Callithrix jacchus: one gene and its partners. The protein of the gene in region 1 purifies or fractionates together with the protein of each later gene. This does not show direct contact. Links are inferred from orthologs where the notes say so. Each region holds a gene or a part of one and is shown in the gene's direction. Other genes may lie near its edges. The genes, in order: CD81, CD46, ITGB1, GNB1, PTGFRN and IGSF8.

The links.
Region 2: the proteins of CD81 (region 1) and CD46 purify together in Homo sapiens (co-immunoprecipitation; 3 studies listed by BioGRID and IntAct, with this or other methods). This does not show direct contact. The link is inferred for Callithrix jacchus from reciprocal best matches to the Homo sapiens genes CD81 and CD46.
Region 3: the proteins of CD81 (region 1) and ITGB1 purify together in Homo sapiens (affinity purification with western blotting; 4 studies listed by BioGRID and IntAct, with this or other methods). This does not show direct contact. The link is inferred for Callithrix jacchus from reciprocal best matches to the Homo sapiens genes CD81 and ITGB1.
Region 4: the proteins of CD81 (region 1) and GNB1 purify together in Homo sapiens (co-immunoprecipitation; 4 studies listed by BioGRID and IntAct, with this or other methods). This does not show direct contact. The link is inferred for Callithrix jacchus from reciprocal best matches to the Homo sapiens genes CD81 and GNB1.
Region 5: the proteins of CD81 (region 1) and PTGFRN purify together in Homo sapiens (co-immunoprecipitation; 7 studies listed by BioGRID and IntAct, with this or other methods). This does not show direct contact. The link is inferred for Callithrix jacchus from reciprocal best matches to the Homo sapiens genes CD81 and PTGFRN.
Region 6: the proteins of CD81 (region 1) and IGSF8 purify together in Homo sapiens (co-immunoprecipitation; 3 studies listed by BioGRID and IntAct, with this or other methods). This does not show direct contact. The link is inferred for Callithrix jacchus from reciprocal best matches to the Homo sapiens genes CD81 and IGSF8.

What each region holds. Positions count from the first base shown.
Region 1 is NC_133511.1:129,475,683-129,477,870, reverse strand, and holds part of CD81 (CD81 antigen), read left to right. Parts: intron 1-496; coding exon 497-594; intron 595-1,454; coding exon 1,455-1,529; intron 1,530-1,848; coding exon 1,849-1,953; intron 1,954-2,188. UniProt on the Homo sapiens protein: Structural component of specialized membrane microdomains known as tetraspanin-enriched microdomains (TERMs), which act as platforms for receptor clustering and signaling.
Region 2 is NC_133520.1:35,123,986-35,128,213, forward strand, and holds the start of CD46 (membrane cofactor protein), read left to right. Parts: upstream 1-1,428; 5' UTR 1,429-1,506; coding exon 1,507-1,750; intron 1,751-4,228. UniProt on the Homo sapiens protein: Acts as a cofactor for complement factor I, a serine protease which protects autologous cells against complement-mediated injury by cleaving C3b and C4b deposited on host tissue.
Region 3 is NC_133508.1:32,641,337-32,645,611, reverse strand, and holds the start of ITGB1 (integrin beta-1), read left to right. Parts: upstream 1-1,475; 5' UTR 1,476-1,551; intron 1,552-4,275.
Region 4 is NC_133508.1:39,890,269-39,894,248, reverse strand, and holds the start of GNB1 (guanine nucleotide-binding protein G(I)/G(S)/G(T) subunit beta-1), read left to right. Parts: upstream 1-1,180; 5' UTR 1,181-1,195; coding exon 1,196-1,276; intron 1,277-3,980. UniProt on the Homo sapiens protein: Guanine nucleotide-binding proteins (G proteins) are involved as a modulator or transducer in various transmembrane signaling systems.
Region 5 is NC_133508.1:154,913,973-154,917,936, forward strand, and holds the start of PTGFRN (prostaglandin F2 receptor negative regulator), read left to right. Parts: upstream 1-1,164; 5' UTR 1,165-1,463; coding exon 1,464-1,512; intron 1,513-1,805; exon of another isoform or gene 1,806-1,990; intron 1,991-3,964. UniProt on the Homo sapiens protein: Inhibits the binding of prostaglandin F2-alpha (PGF2-alpha) to its specific FP receptor, by decreasing the receptor number rather than the affinity constant. Functional coupling with the prostaglandin F2-alpha receptor seems to occur.
Region 6 is NC_133519.1:20,039,987-20,042,490, reverse strand, and holds part of IGSF8 (immunoglobulin superfamily member 8), read left to right. Parts: exon of another isoform or gene 1-310; intron 311-656; coding exon 657-1,034; intron 1,035-1,714; coding exon 1,715-2,176; intron 2,177-2,504. UniProt on the Homo sapiens protein: Member of the immunoglobulin superfamily (IgSF) that links tetraspanin-enriched microdomains to the actin cytoskeleton and plays several important roles in innate and adaptive immunity.

The sequences.
Region 1 (2,188 bases):
CTTCTCAGACTCCACGCCAAGTCCCAGCGGCATTAGGAGCAGGTTTAGGCAGTGGGTGCAGGCAGTGGGTGGCAGGTGGGGGACTGTGGGTGGTGGGTTTGGTGCTTGGAGGGCCGTGGGTGGTGGTGGGGGACTGTGGCTGGCAGGTGTGGCGGGTGGCGGGTTGTGGGTGGTGGGTGGGGGACTGTGGCGGGTGGCAGGCCATGGGCCACACCGCAGGCCTTGTCCCTGCAAAGCACCCATCTCCAGCACTCAGAGCACTCACGAGGCACACAGTCCCCACCTGGTGGTCTCAGTCTCCCTTCTGCATCATGGGAGAGGAAACTGAGGCACAGAGAGTTTGCAGGGCCGAGCTGGGATGCGGGCCCTCGCTGCTCATCCCTGGCATCGGGTCTTCCCAGCTGGGCAGCCCGTGGTGGGGTCGGCACCCGGGACCCTCCGGGGTCTCGGGCTGTGACGAGTGTGCAGGCGCCCACCCAGTGTCGCTCTCCCCAAGGCATCTACATCCTCATTGCTGTGGGCGCCGTGATGATGTTCGTTGGCTTCCTGGGCTGCTATGGGGCCATCCAGGAGTCCCAGTGCCTGTTGGGGACGGTAAGGCAGGGAGGTGGGCCTGCACCTGGGATGGGCCCAGCCCGGGGAGGGGCTGGGGGCTGTGTCCGGCCCTGGTGCTCAGGGCGGATTGCACTTCTGGGGTAGGCAGCGGTGGCGGCAGCTCCCGTGCCCCGGATTTCCCATTTGATTTTTAAATTAAATCCCACTGTGCTTGATCTCCTCATGGTCAGTTCCTAAGTGACCTGAGGCCGGCCTTGGGCATCCCTGGGCACAGCGCCCCCAATGGGAAGCCCAGTGGGGGAAACTGAGGCACATCCCATGGCCCCCTTCCCATGGGGAGCAGGAGCAAGGGGGTGGGGAAGACCAGGTCTGAGTCAGGGGTCAGGCTGCTGCACATGCCTCCCGGGGCTGCAGACATCTTGGACTCACCAGCTGTGACCCCAAACCTCAGGCCCCGCCCCATCCACCTCAGGGTGCTGGTGCTGGCGGGGAAGCCGTGGGCTTTGACGTCTGCTTCCTGGGGCTTAGTGTCAGGCTCTGTGCTCTAGGGCTCATACATGGCACTCATTCCTGGTCAGGTGGTCTGGTCCCTCACACACAGCCTGCTGGGCACCTGGGTGTCTGCCCTGGGGCCCTGCCCACAGCCTGCTGGGCACCTGGGTGTCTGCCCTGGGGCCCCGCCCACAGCCTGCTGGGCACCTGGGTGTCTGCCCTGGGGCCCCGCCCACAGCCTGCTGGGCACCTGGGTGTCTGTGCTGAGGCCCCGCCCACAGCCTGCTGGGCACCTGGGTGTCTGTGCTGAGGCCCCGCCCACAGCCTGCTGGGCCCCTGGGTGTCTGCCCTGGGGCCCCGCCCACAGCCTGCCCTCTTTCCTCCCTCTGGCCACTGCATGGCTCCAGTTCTTCACCTGTCTGGTCATCCTGTTTGCCTGTGAGGTGGCCGCTGGCATCTGGGGCTTTGTCAACAAAGACCAGGTGAGCCTGGGTGCGCGGGGGCAGGGTGGGGTGGATGGGAGGGGCACCCTCCTCTGCTGTTGCGGGTGGGGGGTACTCTCTGGGCTCCTCCTGGGACCCACTTGGTAGGAGAGTCTCTGGGGGCTGCATGGAGGCGGCAGCACTGGGGCTGAGCACAAGGCCAGCCTCCCTTGTGCGTCCCGGCGCCCCCGGGGCAGCTGGGAGTGTAGACGTCTGGCCTGGAAGCCACCCTGCCCTGGGAGAGCTTGGGAAAGGTGCGTGGGGCTGGGGCAAGGTTGGGGAGGTCCCAACTGTGCGAGTGACCGCAGCCCTCCCCCAGATCGCCAAGGATGTGAAGCAGTTTTACGACCAGGCCCTGCAACAGGCCGTGGTGGACGATGACGCCAACAACGCCAAGGCCGTGGTGAAGACCTTCCACGAGACGGTGCGGCCCGGGGCGAGGCGGGGCGGGGCAGAAACCAGTGCGGGGCGGGGCAGAAACCCGGGCGGGCTCTGTCTCATCCTGGACCACCCCTACTGCGGGACGGGACGGGGCGGGGCAGGGCGGGGCAGAAACCCGGGCGGGCTCTGTCTCATCCTGGACCACCCCTACTGCGTCCACCCAGACCTCAGGAGCAGGAGGTGCCCTGGGGACCTCTAGGACCCTTGGGCTCAGCTGG
Region 2 (4,228 bases), on another chromosome or scaffold:
GACTGTTTCACAAAAAAAGAAAGTTCTCCCTCTTATCCACTTAACCTAACAATTTCTGCCCATCCCAATCCTCCTGCATTTATTGCTTCCAAGAATTTGGCACTTAGGACACCCTTGTCCTTACATTGTTCATGCATGTATATTTCATCTTCAAAAAACATTTAGTCGCTCAAGGGCAAGGGCCCCAGAGTCCCAATATGCTAAGGGCCTGATGTCGCTTAATAATTTAGATTCCAGCGGGGCTACTCTCCAGGGAGGAGAGCAAAGAGCAAATTACCTTACGGGCTGGGAGTGCAGGAGCCAAACCTTTGAGACTGAAAACAAGAAGGCCAGAGACGATTCAGCAGCAGGCATCCAAGCAAGAAAAACTCAAATACTGCTCCTAATAATGTCTAATGGCAAATACCGTGTAAGGGCCCAGGCAGTCCGGACAGCCTGCAGTGCCCCAGGATAAAACTAACCCTGAGGGCTGATGGCCCAGAGTGACGCCCGTCCTGGCCTCTGGATCTCTATTTTTAGGTCGAAGGGCTTTATTCTTGAATCCCGAGTTCCCGGAGACAGTCCTACGGCAGCTTAGTTTTCTTTCTACCCTTCCAGGGTCACAAACTTGGCGGTGACCCAGCCCTTTCTCGCAGGCCGCCTCAGGTTTCCAGAACTGTGGCCCTACGGTTTAGCAAGAAAAGAGGCGAGGCCCGGGGAGCCTGCAGGGTTAGGCCCTGCCAAGGCCACGCCCTATCTCCAGGAGGCCAACGGGCTGTCCCTGAGCGCCAAGGCCCCGCCCAGCGGTCCGCCGATTGGCCCCACCGCCCCGGGGCCTCTACTCACTTCCGCCTCGGGCGCGGCTCAGGCCACGCCCACCCGCTGTGAGGCTGTGGGCACTTTGTGAGTTTGGGGATTGTTGCGTCCCGTAAGCGGACTCACAAGGGACTTCCCTGCTCAGCTGGCTCCCGGTTTCTCTGCTTACCTCCGGATAAATGACGGCTTCTTCCGCGACGCGCATGGCGCCTCCCAGCCGCCGCGAGTGTCCCTCTCCTTCCTGGCGTTTTCCTGGGTTGCTTCTGGCGGCCCTGGTGTTGCTGCGGTCCTCCTGCTCTGGTAGGATCCCGGGGCGGGTTCGCGCGTCAGCGGTGAAGCTAGAACTCTGCTGGATCAGCTGGGCAGGAGGCGCGGGGCGGGACTGACCGTTTGTCCTGCCGGCTTGGGGTAGAGGGCGAGGCCAGGGTTCTCCGAGGAGCGCAGTGCGCAGATCCCTGGGGTGTGTGGCGGAGGATGCGGGGACCACTTAGAGCCCGAGGTGAAGCTTGTTTGCTGGAGTGATGTGCGCGGCCCGAATTTACGTAGGGTCTGGCTGCGCCCCCAACAAAAGCCTGCACCTTGTTTTCGGGATTGAGTCCAGTCGGCAAGTGGAGCGCGCACTGGGTGCCCCTGGTAAGGGCTTGCTTTGGAGTGCACGGGTGCGTGGGAGTGTTGCTAGGGCCCGTGCTGTGCCGCCGGTGAGAGTTTAACATGTGTTCCCTGGGCGGGGCGGTTGGTGCCTTGGTGAGCCGGGTGTTCCTTAGCACTTCGGCAGTATCTGCGAAAAGTGCTGCGGCGCGTCCGTCCGCTGTGCCCCATGGGCTGGGCTGGCATGGGCTGTGCTGGGCGATCAGGGGCCTGGCCTGGTGTTGTTGGGAGCGTGCTGTGTTGTGTGCAAGTGGCCTGCCCTTCAGAGTTCACGGTGGACAAGACAGCTCACTGTTTGCTTTGAATGGTGTGAGCGTGGACTCTGGGGCTAGGGGGGTTATGTTGGGTGAGAACAGGTTCTCAGTGCCTGGGGTTAGAGATGCTGGTAAGGGCACGCCACGCGTTTTGTGCCTTCTGTGAACAGTCTCCGTGTTGCCTGAGATCCTATTGGTCTTGATTTTTAACTAGCTGGTTTTTTGGGACTTGGGTGGGTCATGGAGTCATCTTCCTGTTCCCAACCAATGTAGACACTCTCTGATTCCATTACCTAATGGCTTTTTGACATAATTTTCCTTCTTTTCATTGTTTGAGTCATATTTGAGAGATGTGAAGAAACCTAAAAAACACTGGTAACCAAACCTATTGAGAAATTAGTATCCTAACAAAGGAAAGGAAATTATGTTAATCTGTTTTCCCTGCAACTCATAAACTAAAGCTGAAGCCCATCCCACTAAATTTGTTTTGTATTTCATTGAATGGAATAATACTATTAAAAATGCATACTAGGCCAGGTGCAGTGGCTCATGCCTGTGATCCCAGCACTTTGGGAGGCCCAAGTGGGGTGATTGCTTGAGCCCAGGAGTTGGGCAAGCAAAACCCCATGCAAACCCCATATCTACAAAAAATACAAAAATTAGATGGGCATGGTGGTGTATGCCTGTGGTCCCAGCTACTCTGGAGGCTGAGGTGAGAGGATCGCTTGTGCTTGGGAAGTGAAGACTGCAGTGAGCTGTGATCATGCCACTGTGCTCCAGCCTGGGTGACAGAGTGAGACCCTATCTAGAAAAAAAAAAAAAAAGCTAAGAAATACATGCTTATTAAACAAAACGAACAGAATCACAGGACAACTATTTTTAATATTTTGGACTATTTCCATCTGACTTTATATGCGCTTCAGGTGTATCTATGTCCAAACTTATATTTAGGATCCTATTACGTGTACAGGTTGTACGTTACGTTTCTTTCCTTAGGAACATTCATTCAACGAATGTCGGCCTAGAATGTGTGGTGCTATTACACTGGTAGGCAATCCCAAACGTTCCTATTTTCTTGATCCTTTTTTTCGCCATTTGTTTACACACATGTACATGCAGGAAGATAAGCAGGGGCTTTGTTTTGTGCACTGCTGCAAGCTCAGTGCTGGGAACACAGTAAACAATAACTATTCGCTAAAATGTATTGGGAGTGGCAGACATTAACTAAACGTAATAGTAACAAATATATTATGAACCAAGGGAAGTGCTCTGGAGAAAAGGAGTATAATTTTCTGACAGCATTTAACAAATGGACTGGAGGCAGGGAAGGCTTTTCTGCTCATCAAAGAGACAAAACTCTGCCTCTTTGGGGCATCTGTGCTTGCTGTTCTCAGCCCTGGAACATTCTCCTGAACTGCTGCATAAACGGGCTCTTTTCTTCTGCAAACTCGGCTGGTATGTTATCCCCTCAGAGACCTTCTCTGACCGCCCCCCGTTTCAGGTTGGAGACATACAACCCAGTTCAAGTCCCTCTTCACTTGTAATCACGCTTTAAAAATGACCTTTTCTATTCTTTGTCTCTCCCCATCAGAATGCAGGGATCTTATCTGTCTTGTCACATTTGTGGTTCCAAAAGCCCAATTTGTTTGCCTCCATATCAATACTGACTCAGTATCCATATAGACATCTGTTAAATACCAGAAAATTAAATATACTATTTGGCTGGGGCTTAGAGCCTAGGAAAAAGTTCCTCCTGCCTCCAGGAAGAAGGTTGTTTAAAGAGCTATGCTCAGGGTGGTTTTTCTGTGGTACCTAAAAAGCCAGGGCAGGGGCAGCTGAGGGCCCGAAAGGATCTTCCTCCCCTGTTCATGTTGACTGTAGGGTTTCCAGTACTTAAGTCTGGCATTTCAGTGATTATTAAAACGTTCATTTTGAAGGAGGGTGATGGGAGGAGGGAGCAGTGGTGATAAGAAGAAAACGAAAGGCCTTTTATTTTCTTTTAAGATTAATGTTTAGAATAGACTTAGTACTAGAAGTTCAGGCTGGGCAACATAAGGAGATCCCACCTTTACAAAAAATGAAAAAAAAAAAAAAAATTAGCCAGGTGTGGAGTTTGTTGCATGCCTGTAGTCCCAGCTACTTGAGAGGCTGAGTGAGAATCACTGGAGCCCCCACGGTCAAGGCTGCAGGTCAAGGCTGCAGTAAGCCCTGATTGTACCACTGCACTCTAGCCTGGGTGACAGAGTGAGACCCTGTTTCCAGAAAAAAACGAAAAGGAAAACACACACACACAAATAGGAAGTTGAAGAAGATAATGAAAGTGATTTGAAATAGAGGAACACAGAAAAATAAAATAGGGTGCAACATGGAAGATAACCTTGTTTTTCCTTCTCTTCATTCTTAGTTAAGTTTGAGGTTGATAAGGTTAAATCAACAACAAGTATGAAACCTAGAGAAAGTAAAAATGAGAACTCATGATGCCACGCAGGGAGAATACATGAACTAAAATAAACATTCAATTTTTGGAGCAA
Region 3 (4,275 bases), on another chromosome or scaffold:
CCATTATGCTTTTGTACTATACAGTTTTCTGTGCTGAGACTGGGCCAATTCTGATGAATTCCAAACAATGGTAAAACCGATACCTTTAAAATTCAAGAATGTTGAGTTCTAATGGCAGTTTGATCATTGATATATTATAGGAACATCATTTAGTCTCTTAAGCTTGAACATCCATTAAGTGGGAAAAATAGTGATTATTTTCTAGAGGTCTTCAGAGATTGGCTAACCAATAGATTTTGCTGGTAAGTAATGTGCAAATTTTCTAGAAAGATGTTATTGCTTCATTTTCTCTTATATTTTGGATTGGCAGCAGCCAAATGGGTGTCCCAGCCCCTAATCTCCTACAAGAGAAACACTACTTCTCAGTTTAATAAATCTGATAAATTTTGAGCTCTTTTTCTAACAGGGTGCAGCAGCTTACTAAGTAAAGCCCACAACATTTTCTGCTACCAGGATAGCAGCTTGCCAGCAGCACATACTGAATTACGGGGTTTCAGTATGATGTTGGCTGGTAGGAACTTCAATCATCCAATCGATATGTGCCCAGCCATTCTCATTATGAATGTTTCCTTCTCTTTCAAACGTTGTTTCCAGCCCCCATCTCCAAGTGTTTAAAAAAAAAAAAAGTGAGGAGAAACAGAAACTATACACCTCAGGATGAAACTTTTCTTTCTCATCCCTGTTCCCCAATAAATGGACTTTCAGATAAACCTATCAAAAGCAGCCCACAACTCACCATTTTCTAAAACGTTCCCCATCCCCACCCTTCGTGGCACCCATGGGCTTCCCCAAGTCTTCACCTTTTTCTTAGACACACGCAAGCACATTCTCACCCCAGGAAAGCAGTCCTGGCTTAGCCAGTTCCCTTCCAGAAGGACCACGTTGTTTTTGCCCCCATGGAGCCCTGCAGGGTCCGGGGCTCAGGTGCCGATTTGCCTTGGGACGGAAGGGGGGGCTTCCTGGGTGCAGGATCTCACAGGCTCAAAACGAGACATCAGTGGACAAACGGGAAGGGAGGTCGGACGCGCGGCTCCCAGGAAGCGGAACCAAAAAACACTGGCTCAGGAGGCGACGCCAGGAACGCGCGGGGCTCTAGGGCGCACCCGACCCCTCACGCCCTTCACAGAGGAGGAAACTGAGGCGCGGGACGGCCTCTGCGGCGTCTCTGCCCCGCCCTCCACAGTCTCCCCCAAGGCGCGCTCCCGTGCGGGCCGGTTCCTTTGTCCCGGCAGCGCTTCCTGCCTCCTCCTCGCCCCGGGCCCGGCTGACGCGGCGGGAGAGGAATGCGTTTCCGGAGGGAGCGGGCGGCGGCTGCGGCCTCGGGAGCGGGATCGGACGCGCAGAGAAGGCGGGGCCGCGGCTAGTTTCCTGCCGGGGGGCGGCTCAGGGCCGCCGAGTCCCCTCCTCCCGCCCCTGAGGGGGAGGAGCCGCCGCCGCCCGCCGCGCCCGAGACCTGGGAGGCCCCGCCAGCCCGCGAGAGAGGCCGAGCGGGAGCCGCGGAGCAGCAGGCCCGAACCCACCGCGCCCGGGCTCGGACGCCGCGCGGGGAAGGTAGGGGCCGGGGCCCTCGGGCGTGGGGTCGTGGGCCGCGGCCTCAGGGATCTGGTGCGCCGCCGCATTTTGGGCCGCCTGCTGGGCCGCGCCGGGACCTTTGTGCCGGGCGTGGGGGCGGGGGCGGCCGCCGGCGGGTGGGGGCTGGGGTGGGATTCCAGGCTCGCCGGGGAGGAAGTCCGCGCTCTGCCACCCGCCTGGCTCTTCCACCCGCCTCGAGTCGCGGGCGCTGGTAGTCCCCGGGCGCGGAGCCTACCCGGCCGCGTTCCGAGCGCGGGGGTAGATGGCTTGGGCGCTGTCACGTCGGGGCTGCGGGAGCTGCGGGGCAGTGGGCTCGAGCGGCCCCTGACACCTGCAGTCTCCCACCCGGCTGGGCGAGCGCAGGTGGAGCCAGCGAGGTCTCCTGGGGCTCGGCGTTTGGGACTCGGCGCGTCCCTGGACGGGTCCTGTGCCTTTGTCTCCCGCTCCCTCGCTGGCTGCCGTCCTTGGAGCAGCGTCGAGTCGGTTGTCCGCGCCCGCGGCGGGGACTGGTCTGGTGTCCTCCCGCTGCCGGGAGGCAGCCTTGAGGCCAGCGCCGCGGGCGGGGGAGGTGGGAGCCGGGTCAGAAAGTGGCCTCGCGTAGCCGCTGGGGACCAGAGGCGTGGTGGCGGCAGTGCCGTCCACCTCCCCGTGTTTATAAACGCGAGTGCCCGGCAGTCAGAGACGCCAGCCTCTGCCGGGCACCCCGGGACCAGGACGCAGGACCACGGTCACCCGCGCTCAGACCCCGTCCGCGAGCCTGAAAGCCGGCCTGTGTCTAGTATCATTTTACCTCACGTCATTTCTTAGGCTTCATAAATTGAATTTATGAGACTCCTACTCTAAGCAACTTTTATTTCGTGAAATTCGTTGTTTTGAGTCAAAAACTTTGCACTCATTTGTATGATTAGTAAGTTGCACTCAGCTTCCGTTTCCTTGTCTGTGAAATAGGAACAATAATATCTACACTAAATTATTCATTTTTATAATAATGACAATGAGGGCCAAGTTTAGGTCTAGGAATTTTACATGTATTATTTAATTCTGGAACCACTCTAATGAGGTCGGTACTGTTTTTATTCTCATTTTCTGAGTGAGAAACTGAAGCACAGGGAGCAAAAGTAAGTTGCCTGTGGTCATCAGGAGCTCCTGGAGAAGGCATGGGGTCTAGCTCCAGAGTCCACGTTTAAACCACAAGTAACTTTCCTAACTATAGTCTAGTTGTGAAAATCAAATGCAAAATGCGAGACACTTAGAGTAGATGCTTAATGAATACTGACTCCTTTTCAGCCCTTTCTTTATAATAAAAAGATGTTAAAAAATATCTCAGAAGGTAATTGGTAACATCATTAGTAATTTCTCTGGACCAACATGCCACATGGATAACAGGTGGGGAGAATTACTAGGTTATTTTGTTTTGTTTTGAGACCGGGTCTCTGTCGCCCAGGCTGGAGTGCAGAGGTGCATCACAGCTCACCGCAGCCTCAACCTCCCAGGCTTAAGTTACTCTCCCACCTCAGCCTCCTTAGTAGCTGGGATTACAGGCGCCTGCACCCTTTTAAAATTTTTTGTAGAGACAGGATCTTACTATGCTGCCCAGGCTGGCCCCAAACTCAAGCAGTCCTCTCTCCTTGAGCTCCCAAAGTGCTGGGATTACAGGTGTGAGTTCCTAAGCCTGGCTCTTAGGTTCTTATTTTTTTAATTGTATTTTTGATGGTACAAAAATAACATGCTAGAGGAATTTAGGTTAGACATCTTTCTTAAACCACGTATGCCCTTAAAAATACGCTATGTAATAGACCACTTTCAGAAATGATTAAGAACTTTAGTTGGCAGTTAACTGTTCATTTGTGGACACCAAGGCCCAGAGGGGTCAGGACTTAGAGTCTCACTGTAATTCTTATATTTTTAAATAATGTTGTCTCATTGATTAATATTACACACGTGGTTGAAAATGGTGAAGTGTTAAATAAAAAAGTTTGGTGTTTTCCTACAGGCATTTGGGGAGAAAGCCATTTTACTTATCCAAAGATTGAGTATGAAGGTGGAAGATGTTATTAGAATGCTGGTTAAAAGGACAAAGAATGTGGATAATACTTTAGTTCTGTAAACAGAAAGCAAATAGACTGTTTAATGCGTCTATGTTGACTTCAGACCTAGACCTACAATGATTGTGACTTCTTTTTTAACCATGTGAAGGTCTATATTGAAATTATTTTTTGTTACCCTCACTCAACATTCTCTACATGAAAAGTATGGAATCAACAATTCTGAAAGCCACTAGATTTAGTAATTAGACAGCTTTCTTCTTAGCTTTGGTCAGTATCATTTAAATCAGCCCCAAATTACCATTACAAATGAAAATGTAATTCTACATTGGTGTTCACTTCCTAACTTTGGGAGTGACAGTGGGGACATCTGGTCACATTTTGCAGTCAAACAACATGGTGCCAGTTTTCCTAAGAGTGCTTGCCACTGATTGTAATGTCTTTGTTGTTTGGCTTCTTCCTAAGTAAGTTGTGGCTTATAGCGGAGACTAGTATAATGTTCTATCTGGAAAAAATATTAATATTCTGTAGGTGCTCTGGTTTGCTCTTAACTATATTGCTAGTGTGATAAGCTGAAACGTCTTGTAACTGGTAAAAGTTTCAGAGAACTTTTGAGGTCCAAGGATGTAACTTTCTGAATATGAACAAGCTGCATATA
Region 4 (3,980 bases), on another chromosome or scaffold:
AATAAGAGTATTAACAATAAAAAAGTATTTCAGGCCGGGCGCGGTGGCTCACGCCTATAATCCCAGCACTTTGGGAGGCCAAGGCTGGTGGATCACAAGGTCAAGAGATGGAGACCATCCTGGTCAACAAGGTGAAACCCCGACTCTACTAAAAATATAAAAATTAGCTGGGCATGGTGGTGCGCGCCTGTAGTCCCAGCTACTCGGGTGGCTGAGGTAGAATTGCTTGAACCCAGAAGGCAGAGGTTGTGGTGAGCCGAGATCCCACCATTGCACTCCAGCCTGGGTAACAACATGTAAACTCTGTCTCAAAAAAAAAAAAAAAAAAAAAAATGTATTTTAGGATTGGGTGCGGTGGCTCACACCTATAATCCCCGCACTTTGGGAGGCCGAGGCGGGTAGATCACAAGGTCAAGAGATCGAGACCATCCTGGCCAACATGGTGACACCCCGTCTCTACTAAAAATACAAAAATCAGCCGGGTATGGTGGTGCATGCCTGTAGTCCCAACTACTCGGGAGGCTGAGGCAGGAGAATCACTTCAACTTGGGAGGCGCACATTGCAGTGAGCCGAGATCACATCACTGCACTCCAGCCTGGTAACAGAGCAGGACTCCGCCTTAAAAGTAAAAAAGTATTTCAGGTGTACCTGATGTATTTTTTCCTAATTTTGAAAGGGGATCTAGTGGTGATGATTGGAATCTGCAACTTTTGATAGACTGCTAGATGGAGCAGATATATCAAAATCCAAGATAGAGGCCAGTTGCACTGGGCTCCCTCCTGGAATCCTAGCAGTTTGGGAGGCCAAGACGGGCAGATTACTTGAGGTCAGGAGTTCAACACCAGCCAGGCCAACGTAGTGAAACCCCATTTCTACAAAAAATGTAAAAATTAGCTGGATATTGTTGTGTGTGCCTGTAGTCCCAGCTACTCAGGAGGTTGAGGTCAGAGGATCACTTGAACCCAGGAGGTGGAGGTTCCAGTGTGTCGAGATTGTGCAACTGGGCGTCAGAGTGAGACCCTGAAAAATGAAAACAATCGTGTGTAAATAAACTGCATTGTAGAAAGAATATCTGTCACAGAATTCTAAAACATTCCAGTCTGTGTCTGATACACAAGTTAGACTGCACAGTTCATAAACTTTTTTTTTTGATACGGAGTCTTGCTCTTTCACCAGGCTGTATAGTGCAGTGGCATGATCTTGGCTCACTGCAACCTCCGTCTCCCAGATTCAAGCAATTTCCCTGCCTCAGCCTCCTGCGTAGCTGGGACTCAGGTGCGTGCCACTACACCTGGCTAATTTTTTGTATTTTAGTAGAGACAGGGTTTCACCATGGCCAGGACAGTCTCGATCTCCTGACCTCATAATTGCCTGCCTCAGCCTCCCAAAGTGTTGGGATGACAGGCACGAGCCACTGTGCCCGGCCTTTTTTGTTTTTTGTTTTTGTTTTCTTTTGTTTTGAGAGAGAGAGAGTCTCGCTCTCCTAGGCTTGAGTGCAGTGGTGAGATCTTGTCTCACTGCAACCTCTGCCTCCAGGGTTCAAGCAATTCTCCTGCGCCAGCCTCCCGAGTAGTTGGGATTATAGGCTCCTGCTACCATGCCTGGCTGATTTTTCTATTTTTAGTAGAGATGGGGTTTCACCATGTTGACCAGGCTGTTCTTGAACTCCCAGCCTCAGGTGATCCACCCGCCTTGGCCTCCCAAAGTGCTGAGATTACAGGTGTGAGCCACTGCTCCCATCCCCATAAACTTTTTGAAAAAGGAGGAGCAGTAGGTCTAAACAGAATTTGTTCTGCTCCTTCTCCTTTTGTGAACTAGCACTTCTAGTAAATATTTTATAGAGAAACACTTAATACCAGTATATGTTTCCATTCTGAAACTGCTGATATGAAGAGGAAGAGAAAAAGAGGCAGACTTCTCAGGAAAAAACAAGTCTTCACTATGATTTTAGGTTTTGTCCATTTGATGTAAGAGCTTACTCTTGTTTGCTCTGTCAAGCTTTAGCTGTCCTTCAGTGTGTCACTGTACAGGAAGCCGGCAACATTTAATACATGTCTGAGTAACAGTTTATAAGCTGGGCTTGGTGGTGCGCACCTGTAGTCCCAGCTACTCAGCAGGATCACTTGAGTTCAGGAGATCGAGGCTGTTTAGTGAGCTGTGTTCACAACCACTGCACTGCAGCCTAGGTGACAAAGTGAGACTCCTTCTCAAAATAAAATAAAAACAGTATGTTTTTCTGACTTAGTGCAAGGATGAAGCCTAATTATTTCCTTTTAAATGGCCCATTACGTGTTTAGAAAGCCCACCAGGAGTTGGAGAAAGAAACACCAGCATCATTTTAGGCAGCTTGTTCCTGAACTTGCGGAAAAATGATGGAATTCTCTGAGATTTACAGTCAGAGAGAAAATCAAATATCCTCTACTAAGTTACCCTGAAAATGTCTTAGACAGTAGTGTGATTTGGCCTATTTAAGACGTTTTGTTTCTCTGTTGGTGAGATACGTTTCTCACAAATAGTGGACCTGGATCTATTCATAGCAGATGAAAAGAGCTTGTACAAGAAGGTAAAAGACACGCAAATTAAAAAAATTAAGGCCCAAAGGAGCTGTTGCACCTCCTCTGGAGGTTTGAGCCCTGCCATGTTGTGAATTTCCCAGCGCCTTCTTGCACAGGGGACTCCCTTTTGGACTGGTACGAATAGCACATGACACTCCCGAACATACACTTGTTGCCACATAAAAATTGTAAAAAGAGATAGGGCGGGGTACCATGGCTCCTGCCTGTAATTTCAGCACTTGGGGAGACCAAGATGGGAGAATTGCTTGAACCCAAAAGTTTGATACCAGCCTGTGTAATGAAGGAAGACCCCCTCTCTTTAAAAAGAATGAAAAGAACGAAACAGGTAAAATTAATCCTAGTAAGGTTTTTTCAGTTTTAGTTTGCGTGTTTTGAGACAAGGTCTCGCTCAGTTGCCCAAGCTGGAGAGCAGTGGTACGATCACAGCTAGGCCTAGAGGAACGCATTGCCGTACCTGCTGATTTTTTTTCAGTTTTGTAGAGACACAGTTCAGCATGTTGCCCAGGCTGGTCGTAAACTCCTGGGCTCAAGTGATCTTCCTGCCTCAGCCTCCCAAAGTGCTGGGTTTATAGGTGTGAACCACCACACCTGGCCCAACAAATTTTATCTAAGGCAATATAGCTAAAATATTATTATTCAATATGTAATTAATACATTTTATTTATTTATTTTTTACTTTACCACAAAACATGGTGACTGTAGGCAGTAATTAATACATTTTAATTGAGATACTTGACACTGTTTTTGTCCCAAGTCTCCTGGCTCCCTTTCCTGTGCGCAGCAGCCACTTGCAGCTTGTGGTCCCGTAGTGGGATGTTCACTAGGTGAGGCGCCCAGCTGCTCTATCTCCAAAGTCACAGGGACTGTGTCGTGTTAGCTCCTCTGCACGAGACAGGGACAGCAAAAGCTGTTTAAGTCCTTTTACACCAAATGGGAAAGGAAGGTTTATTTTTAAAATGTAGAACATTTTTTCCTGATTGCCCAAGGAATACACACTTGTTAAAGAATGCAGAGCTTGGTGAATCAAACAAGAAATTGTAGATGATTCTAAAAGGGGTTTTTTTCTTTCTTAGATTTTTCAGCCAAAAGACCCTTAAAGGATCTTGCATGTTCCTTTTCGTTATTATTGAGGAAACAGGCTCTCAAAGAGATGCTGATTAAAACATGGTGTGCCTTAAAATACACAGAGTAGCTGATGGAGTAAGAAAGCTCCACAGGATACGCAGGTGTAGGTGTGTTCTGGAGTGGCGTGCCACCAATGCAAGGGATCCAGGGTCCATTCGTGTGAGAGGCAGCTGTACTGGATGCCTGGTCCATGACAGTCGGCTCCACGCTGAGCAGGGCCCAGGCTTTAATTTAGGATGAAGCCTAAAGTATATGTTTTGCTGGGTCATTTGACATAG
Region 5 (3,964 bases), on another chromosome or scaffold:
GCCTTCTGAGTAGCTGACATTACAGATACCAGTTACCATGCCTGGCTATTTTAAACATTTCTAAGTGTACCATTCAGTGGCATTAAGTACAATAACGTTGCACCACCAGGAGTGAATTTCTAAGCCTCTTTCCCAAGGGTTCATACCTGACTAATCACCCATTTGATAGTGGAAATAAGAAACACTTGTTGGTTGAAAGAGCAACGCGTAAGAGTAACAGCAGTGCTCTTCCCCAGCGTGGCAGTTCCACAGGAGCATTTGCAGGTGTGAATGAAAGCCTGGTGAGGGCAGGGGGCACCAGTGCTGCTCCTTGACTGTTTGAATCATGTTTGCTAAGTTTTAACAAGAAGTGCTCCATACCTCCCAATACCGTGGGGCCTTTTGTAATCAAATCAAAAGCACAAAATATTGTGAGGGGGGAAGAATATTTACTGGCAACCAGTTGTGTCCAGTTAGAGCAATAGATATGAAATCTTAAGAGCACATTCTATGTGAAGTACTACAGCTATTAATGCACTTGGGTATTGTTGGTGTGTTCGTTTTTTTAAATGGGTGTCTTTGTGGGGAGTTGTTCCAATCAGGGCCACAGGCGCCAAGGAGAGGGAGGGAGCTGGGCAAGGAGGAGGCAAGCCCACCCACCGGGGTGTGGGCAGAGTCAAGAGAGCAGGGTTCGGATCTCGCCCCTTCCTGCACCTCACCGAAACACGTAAGGCCTCTGTATGACAGAGGTTGGAATCCGTGGCCTTTGAAAGTCCTTTCAGCTCCTTCACTCCTATCTGGATAATTTTTGGCATAGGCCGAGTGGCTGGTTGGTGGGGTGCTTAGCTCAGGACCAGAGGCTGAACCAGCGGGGAGTTGGCTGAGGACAGACTGGACACGCGTGGGTGACTGCAGAGTGATGGAACGCAGGGTGTCCCGGGATAGGGCCAAAGCGATGGGATTTCCAGACGAGTCTTTCCCAGGCCAACTTTTAAAGGTCGGAGGAAAGTTTCTCGTGGGCGGGGGCCCGGAGGGGAGGGCAGGGTGGGCTCCGACGCCTCCTCGCCTTTAAGCGGGTGGCCCCGGCGCGTTCTCCGTTACCTGGAGCGGGGAGGGGCTTGGGAAAGTTTGTGTTTGTTGCTGGCAAAGCGCCGGATGGGAGGCGCGGGCGGGCGGGAGGGCGCTGCGGTTCTTCCCTTGTGCTTTCGGGAAGCGGTCGGGGCTGCACACTCGGAGCGGCGGGGCCGGCTGCAGGGCCCGGCCGGCCGGAGGAGGGAGGGGAGGAGGCGGGAGGGAGCGAGCGGAGCCAGGGGCGCACGTCCGCCCCAGCGCTGGGATTTATCGGCTCGCGGGGAGAGCGGAGCAGGCGCGCGGCCCGGGCGGAGGAGCGCGGACTCTGGAGCAGCCGGAGCTGGAGGAGGAGGAGGAGGAGAGGCGGCGGGGAAGGAGGAGGAGGAGGGGAGAGTCGCTCCCGCCGCGCCAGCATGGGGCGCCTGGCGCCGAGGCCGCTGCTGCTGGCGCTCCTGTGGCTGGGTGAGTGTGCGCGGGGCTCGGCGGGGCGCGGCTGCGGCGCGCGGCCTGGGGTGCGGAGGGTGCCCGGGCCGCTCCCGGGAAACCCGGCCGGGGAGCGCGGGCGGCTCGGCCCGGAGGGGAGCGGCCGTGGGGCCGCCCGGAGCCTGGCGCGAATCCGCCCGGGCCCCGCGCGAGGGGTGCAAGTGGCCGCTCCGCCAGGCCGAGCCTCGCCCCCGACATGTGCCGGGGGGAGTGGCCCGGGGCCGGCTTTCCCCGGCCCTCGCTACCTGTTGGCCGCCGGGAACCCGGCTCACCTTGAACTCCCGGCCCGGAAGGTGCTGCGGTCCCGGCCCGCGTCCCCGGCTCGGGAGCGGAAATGTGAGCCTGGGAGATGCCCCGCCATAGCCGCCGCCGGCCGCGTCGCTCTTCCCCGAGCCCGCGCGGAGTTGCCTTTCCAGGGAAGCGACAGAATCCTCCAACTTCCTTCCACGAAGGTCACAGCGTGGCCCTGAGCGTTACGATGGAAATCGGCGTGCGAGCCCTGCCGTCATTTTCGTGCTGGCTGGGTCTTCTGCCTCAGTCGTTTCTTTTAGCTTTTCTTGAAGCTGCCTGGCTGCATACTGATACACAAAGACCGAAGAGCCTGGCTTCTCCAACTTTTTCTACCTGTTACTTTTCCTCCCTTACCGTCCCCTGGTCTTCCACCCTCCGGAAACCCTCGGTGCCCTGTGAGGTTTTGGCCCAGTGCCCTCCCCCCACCCAAGGAATCTTTTGTGGGTTTTTTCCCCCTCTCCATTTTCCATTCACTCCACACACAGGCACCATCTTCACGTAGATCCACATGGTGATCCTAGCCAGCCACGGAAATATGTTTATTAAGTGCCCACCGTGGTACCCCAGGGCTGACCCTTAAACGCTTTGATACTCTTGGATCCTTGTGGTCAGTGTCAGCCAGGACGAGATGATTCCTGTGACCTGGCCTGGGGTTCTCTTCCAAGCCCCTGGAGAAGGCAGATTTGAGCCTTTTACAGAGCGCGTGCTGTGCCGTGTCCATCCCATCCAGGTCCCAGCTGCACACAGGGCAAATGACTACTCTGCACTTATGGCCAGAGGGTCCCAGGGGAGGCCTTCTACAGCCACTCCCCTGCTGGGAACACCAGGGGCCCACACTACTCTAACCCCCTTCACTCCTGCTGCTGGTGAACCAGCCTTGCTAGCTACTATGTTTTCTTCCTTCACCTTGAAGGGATTTTCTGAACTCTCCCTAAGAGAGCTCGTCCAGCCACGTTGCTTTCAGCTTCAGGCAGTGTGCAGAGAGCTTCCCTATCTTCCAGTTAGTTTTATGGCATCTCTTCTATCGTTCCTGATTCTGGTGCTTTGCTTTTTTTTTGGAGACGGAGTTTCGCTCTTGTTACCCAGGCTGGAGTGCAATGGCGCGATCTCGGCTCACCGCAACCTCCGCCTCCTGGGTTCAGGCCATTCTCCTGCCTCAGCCTCCTGAGTAGCTGGGATTACAGGCACGTGCCACCGTGCCCAGCTAATTTTTTGTATTTTTAGTAGAGATGGGGTTTCACCATGTTGACCAGGATGGTCTCGATCTCTTAACCTCGTGATCCACCCGCCTCGGCCTCCCAAAGTGCTGGGATCACAGGTGTGATTTTATCTTTGAAACAAGGTCTCACTTTGCCACCCAGTCTGGAGTGCAGTGGCACTGCACAGCTCACTGAACCCTCAAACTCCTGGGCTCAAGTGATGCTCCCACCTCAGCCTCCCGAAGTGCTGGGATTCTCGGCACGCTGCACCACACCCGGTGGTAATGCTTTTAGTCTTTACTTTTCACTCTGGGACCCTATGTTTGCGGCACGCTGCTGTGATGGTCCACACACATTGACTATGTCTGGATCACGCAGGGCCGTGGCCTGGGTTTGCACGGATGGTGCACTGTACAGCTTCAGGAGCTGCTGTTCACTTTATAGCCCATGTGAATGACTCCCCATAGAGCTGTGCAGTTCTCTGAAACCTGGGTACCAGTTATGAGGGTGGGATGAGGTAGAACTTTGAAAACAATGCCCTTGAGTAATCATAATAAGGGCGGAAGAGGGAGGGGGCAAAGAGACTGACAAAAAAAAAAAAAGACAAGTGGGGAAAGCACAACTTGGGGAAATCTTGATTGTACCCCAACATATCCTGTCCTGGCTGGAGGCCTCCTATGAACTCCGCAGGGAGTTTCTGTGGTGTCACCAGCCAGTGCCTTTTCACCTGACAGTCCTGTGACCCATTGATGACTCTCCTGATACCTGCTGCCACAGAATCTTGCTCGGTGTAGCTTCAGCCTGACCTCTGGGAAGGTCTCCCTGTGTTACACTACTCTAGCACTGTACTGATCCCTGAAATGTAATATGTTGATCAGCAAGATCATCTTTCCTCCCGGGATGTGACCTGGGTATAATCTTGGTATCGCTGCTCTTTTTGA
Region 6 (2,504 bases), on another chromosome or scaffold:
TGCCAGGGCAGAGTCTGGATCTTCCTCCAGAAGCCCCAGCTGCCTGGGCAGCCCTGCAGGGTGAGAGAAGCAGTGAGCTCATGGCACAGCTGGAGGGGGGAGGGCATTGTATGGTGAGAACTGACTGGGTCTGTGCCCTTTCCAGCTAGGGCCACTGGCTCCATTGTCTAGCCCAGGTGACAAGCTGAGCCAACTAGCCCTTCTGAGCAAGACTGCCAGCTCCCCTCAAGCAAAGGAGGGAACATGTAGTCTCAGAATCCCCCAGCCAGAAGGCTCCCCTGACCAGGAGGAAGGAATGGTAGACATGGAGGTAGGTGAATGGCAGGGACAGATCAAGGTTCAGTTGGAACCAAGGCCTGGTTAGGTCAGGAATCAGATGTACTCCTTTCTGCCTTCAGGCGCTCTGCTTCTAGTCTGCCAGAAATGGGATGCATCTGGGTGCCAAGGCAATCCTGGGCCCATACCACCTCCTCGAGACCCAAGTGTCTTATATCCCAGCATCTGTTTCCTGTTCTCAGAACAGGGTCCAAGCTGTGGACCAACTTTTCCAGGTCTCCTTTCCTTTTATAGGCAGAAGTCAAGAATGGTGCTTGTGGTGGCAGAGGGCATAGAATGGGGAACCAGGCATCTCCAACTCCTTTTGTCTTTCCCTACAGGAATGGGATGCTGGGCCCGGCAGGTGCTGGTCCCTGAGGGGCCCTTGTACCGTGTGGTTGGAACAGCTGTCTCCATCTCCTGCAATGTGACTGAATATGAGGGCCCTGCCCAGCAGAACTTTGAGTGGTTCCTGTACAGGCCCGAGGCCCCGGATACTGCTCTCAGTATTGTCAGTACCATGGATGACCAGTTCCACTATGCGATCTTCAAGCCCCGAGTGCTGGCGGGTGAGGTGCAGGTGCAGCGCCTACAAGGGGATGCTGCAGTGCTCAAGATTGCGCGCCTGCAGGCCCAGGATGCTGGCATTTATGAGTGCCACACCCCCTCCACTGATACCCGCTACCTAGGCAGCTACAGCGGCAAGGTGGAGCTGAGAGGTACTAGGCCCTGGAACAGGGTGCGGCCACACACCCTCTCAAGGCAGGAGGGACACAAGTGACCTATCTAACTGCCCCTTAGGTTTTGTAGCCAAGGAACTCGACGCCCAAAGAGGTTAAGTGACTTGCACAGTCACCCAATAACTCAGTGGCTGGTGTGGGACTCAAACCCAGATTTCCTCACTCCAGGCCAGTGCTCTTCTGATTATATCAAGCCCCCTTCTGGAAGAAGAGCCATCCAGTCCCCTTTCCATTCCCAAGAATGAGGAAGACTGATGGGTTGAATAGACTCTACTGGACAGTACAGGACCCAGATCTGGGAAAGAGCGTATTTAGGGAAGGAGTCAGGCCATGTGACATTCTCACTCTTTTAAGTTTCTTTGTCTCCTGGAGAAGGAAGACAAAGCCACTTTTCTTGGTATTTCAAACAGGGGTCAGTCTTGAACGTAAGGGTGAGTAGGCGATGGGCTGGTTCTTTGAAATTCAGCAAGTATTTATTGAGTGCCTGTGATACGCCCAGCACTGCGCTTGGCACCACTGAGTTACAGAAGAAATAATACAACATGCGATCTTTGCCCTCTGGGAGCTCACAGTCTATTTAGGGAGATCGGCCCTGAACAGGAAGTAGTAACAAGGGCTGCCAGCCCCCAGCCCTCCCTCACTCCAGCTCTTCTCTCCAGTTCTTCCAGATGTCCTACAGGTGTCTGCTGCTCCTGCAGGACCCCGAGGCCGCCAGGCCCCAACCTCACCCCCACGCCTGATGGTGTATGAGGGGCAGGAGCTGGCACTGGGCTGCCTAGCGAGGACAGGCACACAGAAGCACACACACCTGGCAGTGTCCTTTGGGCGATCTGTGCCCGAGGTGCCAGTTGGGCGAGCAACTCTGCAGGAAGTGGTGGGAATCCGGTCAGACTTGGCTGTGGAGGCCGGAGCTCCCTATGCTGAGCGACTGGCTGCAGGGGAGCTTCGACTGGGTAAGGAAGGGAGTGATCGGTACCACATGGTAGTAGGAGGTGCCCAGGCAGGGGACGCAGGCACCTACCACTGCACTGCCGCTGAGTGGATTCAGGATCCTGATGGCAGCTGGGCCCAGATTGCAGAGAAAAGGACTGTCCTGGCCCACGTGGACGTGCAGACGCTGTGTAAGTGCCACATCCCACTGTGGGAGCTGGGAGGGACAGTATGCTGGTGGGCACTGTGGCCACAGGGGGTACCAGATAGCCGTCATCTGACTCCAAGGAACTTATCTTCTAGAGTGAGCATCCCTGTTAGCATTGCTTCCCGCTCTGCCCTTGATGAGTTTTCTCTGCTCAGTAATTGGTTATAGAGTTAGGAGGGCCATGGGTGAGGGGTGAGATTCAAGCCCCCGAGTAGAAAGATGGTCATACCCCGTGAGAGGCAGACGGGAAGCTTTGAAGCTGCTGCTGTCAAGGAGAAAACACAAAGTTGGGGAATCAGGTGCCTCTTGTC